Linked DNA regions of Bombyx mori. The protein of the gene in region 2 interacts with the protein of the main gene of each other region in a pairwise test. Links are inferred from orthologs where the notes say so. Each region holds a gene or a part of one and is shown on either strand. Other genes may lie near its edges.

Region 1 (3,824 bases), on a different chromosome or scaffold from region 2:
GCCGACCCGGGCTGGGGGGCTGACCCAGGATGGGGGGCCGACCCGGGATGGGTGCCGGGCGTGTTATGCGCGGGAGGGTTGGATTAGGGGGACCGTTACGTTCATACCCCGGCAAAGGCCCTGGCGTTGTTGGAGGCCTGGTGGGAGCTCCTGTACAGCTGCGTCTCCCGCAGCTCCCGGGCCTCCGCTATCATGGTGCTCAGTATGCTGGGCTGCTTCGCGTTACCTACGACAATTATTACTGTTACTGACGCGCTGAGGAAGCTTCCCAACTTCACACAAGTATTTGGATGGTTAAAATGTATAATGTTTAAAAGTATGTAACATATTTGTGTTCCAGTTCCCACTGTACGGGGGATCTCCGCTCGGGGACAATGACCACGTGAGGATTGTCTCTGATTATATATTTATGAGCGTACCCCCTACGACACGCGTATTGTCCTAGAGAAATTCCCACTCATTGTATTAGTTCCAAATAGTGGCCGTAGGGCGCCCGGCCCGGCGCGACACAAGAGACACTATACTTACCTATAAACTCATGAGCCAATAGAAACTCTGCTGTGGCTCTGTCTTCAGGGTTCTTGATGAGGCACTGACTAACGAAGTCTATGAACTCTGACGACCACTGGTCCGGCTCCCTGCAACCAAACGTTCAGAATGAAGCCAGCTCGTGTGGAGCTAGTGGAGTGGCAGGCTCGGCGCGGACTGCGTACCTGAAGGAAGGCGGCGGCTTGGTGGGTATCATGAAGATGGCCCTCATGGGATGTATGTCTCCGTAGGGCGGCTTGCCCTCCGCCATCTCCAGAGCGGTGATGCCCAGGGACCAGATGTCGGCCACGCAGTCGTACCCGATCTCCTGAATGACCTCGGGCGCCATCCAAAACGGGGTGCCGATAACCGTGTTGCGCTTCGCCATCGTGTCCTGAGAATGGGGAAGTCGTGTACATGTCCATCATATTGTACTAAGGGTTGCATTACATCGTGCCTACGACGATTATACGTTCGAGGGTCAGTAAGAGTCCAAAGTTCAAAGGTTTGGACGAAGTCGTCGTGGCCTAAAGAGTAAGACGTCCGGTGCATTCGTGTTGAGCGATGCACCGGTGTTCGAATCCCAGGCGGGTACTAATTTTTCTAATGAAATACGTACTCAACAAACGTTCACGATTGACTTCCACGGTGAAGGAATAGGAACGTGTAATAAAAATCAAACCCGCAAAATTATAATTTGCATAATTACTGGTGACTTCTTGTGAGTCCGCGCAGGTGGGTACCACCATTTGAAGGGTGGGCCAGCCGTTATAACTATACTTGAGACCTTAGAACCTTATATCTCAAGATGGATGGCGCATTTACGTTGTAGATGTCTATGGGCTCCAGTAACCACTTAACACTAGATGGGTTGTGAGCTCGTGCACCCATCTAAGCAATAAAAAAAAGAACTCACGGTCAGCTGCCCGGCGACCCCGAAGTCCGCCAGTTTGGCGTGTCCCTCGGTGTTCAAGAGGATGTTCCCGGCCTTGATGTCCCGGTGGATCTTCCTCCGCCGGTGCAGATACTCCAGGCCCTTGAGCGTGTCGCAGAGGATGGTCGCTATCTCGTCTTCCGACAGAGTCTTCTTGCGCAGCCGCATTATGTCCGACACCGAGCCCGCCCCGCAGTACTCCATCACGATCTGTAAGTTACAAAAGACACCATGTCAATATAATAATGTATCCGAATTTTCATTGCCAGGACGAAAAGGGGATTGCCCACTCTCCATAGTGTGCTAGGCCCAAGATGGACATCAAATATTACTTTAAAAATGTACTGATTCAAATTCTTAAATGTATTGGATATCTAAAAAATATATTGAAATTGAGGCCACTATTATAAAAAATATAATAAAAATAAAAACTCGTTTTGAGGTTAATTTTCTATATAAATAAGTGTCGGATTGTGAGATACTTCAAGAACTTTTCTTTTCTTAATGTTTAAGATGTTCCTAATGTATTTTTACCCAATAGGGTATAAAAACACACTTAATTCTTTAAATATCTATATTTTCTTCATCTTCATACACAATTAGTATCATCTAAAAATAGCAAAGGAGAGCATATACACGGTTTTAAATCTCGGTCAGGGTAAAACCACAATTCACACAATGTTTTTTAGTCGTAGTATGAAACGTTATTGATAAAAGTAAAATAAATCGAAGAAAAATCAAAACACATCCATTTTGTACGCAAGCACAACACCACACACAAGCAGCAAGCGAAGTATCAGTCAGTCAGATTAAATTCAGTGTTGTCAGTATAAAGAAAAATAATTACATGAAATTCATATATCGATTATTTTTTTAAATAACCGATAATTGATTTATATCTTAATCTTTATTTTACGAGTACACATTATTTTTTATGTTTTTGTTTTAGTTGTACATATTTAAATAACAATACTAGTAAAGTTTTTTTTATTGCTTAGATGGGTGGGTGAGCTCACAGCCACCCTGGTGTTGCTAAGTGGTTACTCGAGCCCACATACATCTACAACATAAATGCGCCACCCACCTTGAGATATAAGTTCTAAGGTCTCAAGTATAGTTACAAGTTAAAGTCCAATGGGTATGTCTTCGATGTTATTTTATGTGCATAAAATCCATTAAAATCGTTTGATTAATGATAATACTTAAAATGATTTATTTATATGTTTTATTTATATACTCAAAATATTTACTTCATACGTAAAAGGTTTTGAAGCTGGCAATATTTTTCCCGCAAAAATAAAAATCCTTGTTTTTTCAATAGAGTTACTTTTTTTAAACTACTTATTGTAAACTGTAGTGGCGCTTATTTGCAAGAAAGTAAATGCATATTTATTTATGACAAAATTAATGCACTAAGTATTTTTTCTATAATCTATTGTCCGCTTTGGGCCTAAAATGGGCCATCCCCTTTTTGATTAAGAATGCATTTGTTATTTACGGAATTAGGAGTAACTCAGGTTCGCAGCAACGGTCGAGAGCATTGAGGTTTTATTTGCCAAAATATTGGGTTGAAATTTGCGCTAACTATTTATTTCTCACACAGAAACAACACTAAGCACATACACTTAATCGGATATGAAACCTAGATCACTTCCACCCACTACTGTAGTAGTAGTCACAATACCTGATTAGTTCGCGTCAGACAACTCGCCGGTAGCCGAGACCACCTAATGGAACAAGGGCATAGAAGAAGACAAAGACCCCATTTCTTACCCACAGATCGGTATTTTTGAAGTAGCTCCCGTAATACTTGACGACGTAAGGACTGTCGCACTGCTGCATTATTGATATCTCCTTTATGATCTCCTGCAGGTCTGTATCCACAGGTACCTGCTTTATAGCAAGCACTTGTCCGCTTTCTTTGTGTAACGCCTGCAATTTAAAAACGTAGAGTAAGGCACACTGCACTAAGTAAGCGCGGTGCAAAAATTATTTAAATTGCATCATTATTCAGTAAATCTATTGTCGGGCTGTCTGATTGGAGTGCTTGGGACGCATTGCCAAAAAATATGGTCATAGCCAAAAAAAACAAATCACCATCGTTAACACTGTTTTCTTTTTCCTATCTATGCTGATAGCCTTGAGAGGCTATTTCAGCGTAACCTTAACTAGTAGGAGAGCTCACGGGGCTCAAACCGAAGTGATGCTAACACTGATTCTAGCAAGAGCAGTGTTTGGCAGAATCTACAACCGGATCGGAAACGCGACCCACTGAGAAGATCCGGCGAAAAACTCAGTGGGCTGTGTCTATGAGTTAATTCGCTCGTCGAGCCCTTCGTCGCAATCGACGGGTTTGACGAGG
Region 2 (4,489 bases):
GCCAGGCTGATGCCCAGCGTGTGCCAATCCACCACAGTCCTCGTGACGGGAACGGAATCGGGAGCGCGACCGAGCTTCATAACGACGGGACGGTGGTCTGAATCTAACTCTGAAACTACTTCGATCGAGTGTAAGCGCAGAGTTACGTTTTTTAATAACGCTTTGTCGAGTATATCCGGGCGATGCGCGATATTTAGCGGGTAGTGAGTCGGGGTTAGCGGCGCGACGATATCGAAGGCGAGATCATCGACTAACGCGTCAAGCCGCCTGCCATTCGGGGTTGTGGTGTGTGAGTTCCACCTGATGTGTTTACAATTTAAGTCGCCCGCCAGAATGACAGAGCTCCCCATACCGAGCAGCGCCTCGATATCACTGCTTAGAACGATCTTATCCGGTGGAAGATAAACGGACGCGATAACGATCGGCGCGTGTCCCGTCAGTGAGATTCGGCACACTGATGCTTCGATATTAGCGAGCGCGGGAGGATCGAGCGGGACGCAATGCAGGGCTCTTCTATAGTAAATGACGGTACCACCACCACGGGCAGAGAGCCTGTCGTTCCTGACCATGTTATAGTTCGCGATTTTAGGGTCATGGCGCGCGGGCTTAAGTAGGGTCTCCTGCACTAAAAAGATATCAATTTGGTGGTCACGCAAAAAGTCAGAAACCTGATCACGTTGATTTGCGAGACCGTAAGCGTTAAAAAATCCTATCGTTACGGATAGGGGCTTTATTCTACTTATATACGCCATTGATTACCGGCGGAGTGAGGGGAGGACGTACGTATTTAATGACGCGTATACGTCGGCGTATTCCTGCACAACGGCGATAAAGTGTTGTGCAGTGGAGGCAGCGCGAATGGCGTCGCCCAAAGCGTTAACGCGCTCAAAGTTGATCGACTGAAAGAAGTCGATCGCTAAAGCGAGATTGTCGGACGCGGTCGGAGGGCAAGTCGCGGGAGAGGGACGAGTCGCGGGGGCGGGACGAATCGCGGAGGAGGGAGTTGTAGCCGTGTTCGTGTACGGCAGCGGTTTTGCCCAGGCCGAGACACTGGGCACCGCCGCCGGAACGAACGCTGGCTTAGCCTGCGACGCAGAGGGTGCCGAGGCTTTGATGTCTGGGCCGGAAGCTCGGAGGCGGTTTTGGCGGGCGACGCGGCGATTTATTTTAGGGGCTCGGGGGCAACCACGGTAATTCGCGGGGTGACCCTGTGTTCGACACAGGACGCAGCTAGGCGGTTCCGTCGCGGTTTTTTGGTCGCGAGCGCAGAGGGCCGTGGCGTGATCGCCCAAACACTTAACACATCGGGGGCGCGCGTGACAGTTACGGGAAGAGTGCCCGTACAATTGACAGTTATGGCACTGGCTAGGAGTGCCTTTTTTATGGGGGGCTTCGACAGCGATACCAGAGAGCCTACAGACGGTCTGTGTGTTAAAGATTTTCTTACCCTCGGGGGTAGGCTGGAGAGCGACTAGAACCATATTATATGGCTCCCTACCGCGACCGGTGTGCATACGGTGCACAGAATTCACTGGTAGGCCTTGTTCTAACAGGTCGGCTTTTACGAGCTCTACATCTAACTCTTTAGGGATTCCGCGTATTACAACGCGGAGTTCGCGCTCCTCCTGGAGCGTATACGTATGGAAACTTATACGCTCCTTACGGAGGTAAGAAGAGAGGGCCCTATGGTCGTCGGGTGTTTGAACCTTAATTTGAATGCCGTTCGCGAGGTTACGGGCATTCGTGAAATTTATATTTTTGGCCTTAAGGGCCAGGCAAACTCGATCCCAAGCTGCCTTCTCCTGAAGGATAACCGGGGGAGGGGTCTGGGTTTTATTTTGTGCCACCGGACGCGGCGACGGAGTGGCACGGGCTGGGGGCGCAACGGGAGTCTGAGGGCGGGGGCGCGACGCGTTCACGGCTTTGCTAATTTTAGCGGCCGCGGGAGCTCGAGACTCCGCGGCACGCTTCTTACCCTTCTGTACCAGGGTGAATCCATCCGTCGATGAGGCGGGGGCGAGGTCGACCTCCATGTCCGAGTCAGAGTCGGAGCACGAGGAGGCGGGTGCAGGCGACCTACGAGCAAGTGTAGGTGTTTTAGAGGGCGCGACGGAGGCCGCGGATGATCGCTCAGCTGAAACGATGGTCACGGCGGACGACGCAGCAGCTTTTCTCGCCAGTATAGGCGACACGGGAGCGGCAGGCACGACAGAGGCTGCGGTGCTCAATGCAGAAGCTCTGCACGCAGGTACAGGCGACGCAGGAGCAGCGAGCGCGGCGGAGTCCTCGAGAGGGCTCGCAGTGTGATTGGCCTTGAAGGCCAAAAACTCCGAGGCGAGCTGTGGGTGGCGAAGTCGGAGGAATTCCGCGAATACAGCGTCCATGATCGCTGAGTACCCAGGTGGGGCGGCCCCGGGTCTTGAAAACACTCGCCTTGCGGCGAGGCCCCAACTTCTCGGACCTGAGCGGTTCTATTGAACACAGGAGTCCGTACTCTAGTACCGCGTAGTGTACGGCTTGAGAGTTAAGACGAGATGCTAGCTTGATGTCAGCGAGGGGTCGTTTTTTACATGTGGAATGCTCGAGCTCCTATTTAAATTATATTTCTACATAGGCAAAATGCTGACTTAAAATCCGGCGGCTGAAATAATGATCAACTTAACGTATTTTTTTAATAAAGATGAATTTTTAAATGACGAGTTTAATAGGGCAAATCAACAATAGTAAAATTACAATCGTAAAAACAAACCCACTTTAAAGTTACATCGGTTCGATTACGAACGCATTCTTTCAGCGGCTGTACTGGAGAAATACTAATTATATTTATATACAATCTAAAGTATTTGTAGAGAGTTAATCCTTAAATAATGACGAATATCTTACCTGTGTTATTAAGGTAAACTAAAATTTGTTTTGCACTCAACTTTATAAGTGAAGTAGTTTTGAAAGCTAGCCACGTTTCGTTGTGACAATCACGAAATGTTTTATGAAGCTAAGTAGTAAATACATATATCTACATATTATGTTATATTTATATGTTCGTGTGTGAGTTCGATATTCGACCATAACCAAATTAGTCAGTGACTCCTCAAGATTTAGATTCATTCTATTTATGACATTACATTTTTTGTTCTGTTAGTGTTTTCTTTAAAACTTATTATATTTCTTTTTTTTTTAAATTGATGGTTGACTAAAGCTAAATATACTTTATATAGAGAATAAAAAGGTGCTGAGCTGTTTCGTCTTTGCCTATTTAATATTTATTTAAAGATGCAAATTTATATTTTCAGTTTAGGTATGTAGCTTTTATTTCAAATTAAGTTTTATACAAACGTACGTACAAACGCACTCTAAATGTCTTTTCAATTTAATTTTATTATGTAAGTGGCTGAGAAACCTCACGGCCGAAGCGGAGCCCATAGACATCTACAACGTAAATGCCGCCACCCACCTTGAGATACAAGTTCTAAGGTTAGTATAGTTACAACGGCTTCCCCACCCTTCAAACCGAAACGCATTACTGCTTCACGGCAGAAATAGGCAGGGCGGTAGTAACTCCCGTGCGGACTCGCAAGAGATCCCACCTCCAGTAATACAAGGGTAATACAGTAGTACATGAGCTTGAAATATCAATTAATTTATATGATGAATGCTGTAGCCTTCAAAGCGGAAGGTGTGACTGCTGGTGGTGCGTGTAATGAAAGGGAAAACAGCCGAGAATACTATTATATGTACCATGATAGCACGTCGCATTAACATATCCATATTTAAAAACTGCGGGTCACAATTTGTCTACCACGTGCTTAAACGTGTCCTTTAATAGAGGAAAGACATCCACAGCCCTCACTTGATAATCATAGCCATCAGGATTGGGAACCTCCTTGCCGAGTATGCTCTTTTATTACCAATTATAACTTGAATCGCTTCATATCTTGAAACTTTATTAGGCAATTCATGCTATTTAAATAAAGCCTTACATGTTTAATTATATGACAACAATATCTAGTACTTGATTATTTTTCAAATTGTAAAATCCGAAAATTTGTGAGAATAGATGGAGATTTTTACTCTTTCAAAGAAAAACTATTAGGTTTTGATCAAACTTCACAGTTTAATAGTATAGACATCAGAATATCACACAGTGCGGTAGTAATTTATATTTTCATACAATTGGATACATTTCATATTTATTAAACCCGGAGCGTGACTACGATTCATTAGTAAAAAATAATGTTAAGATGCAATTCCGCATTTCCGCAAACGCTGCATTGTGCGGAACAATTTGCAATGTACTGTTGGACCGATTTTGATATAAGTATTGAATGTTTGGATGGATTCCCAGTTAGTTTACTCACGTCATTTCGGATCCTCCCGATCCACTAACGGCGCTTTTTGGTAACTCAAGCACTGGTCACCGTTTTTATCGAACTCGTCGCTTGAGATGAAGGGTTCCGTGAGTAAATTAACCAAATCCGCAGCGACATTTGGC

What was found.
Region 1: the proteins of protein expanded (region 2) and HPO interact in a two-hybrid assay, tested with the Drosophila melanogaster proteins (2 studies listed by BioGRID). The link is inferred for Bombyx mori from reciprocal best matches to the Drosophila melanogaster genes ex and hpo.

What each region holds. Positions count from the first base shown.
Region 1 is NC_085111.1:717,512-721,335, reverse strand, and holds part of HPO (serine-threonine kinase-like protein), read right to left. Parts: intron 3,395-3,824; coding exon 3,236-3,394; intron 1,673-3,235; coding exon 1,445-1,672; intron 923-1,444; coding exon 714-922; intron 639-713; coding exon 529-638; intron 227-528; coding exon 108-226; intron 1-107. UniProt on the Drosophila melanogaster protein: Plays a key role in the Hippo/SWH (Sav/Wts/Hpo) signaling pathway, a signaling pathway that plays a pivotal role in organ size control and tumor suppression by restricting proliferation and promoting apoptosis.
Region 2 is NC_085118.1:7,034,361-7,038,849, reverse strand, and holds the start of protein expanded, read right to left. Parts: upstream 3,018-4,489; 5' UTR 2,884-3,017; intron 1-2,883. UniProt on the Drosophila melanogaster protein: Activates the Hippo/SWH (Sav/Wts/Hpo) signaling pathway, a signaling pathway that plays a pivotal role in organ size control and tumor suppression by restricting proliferation and promoting apoptosis.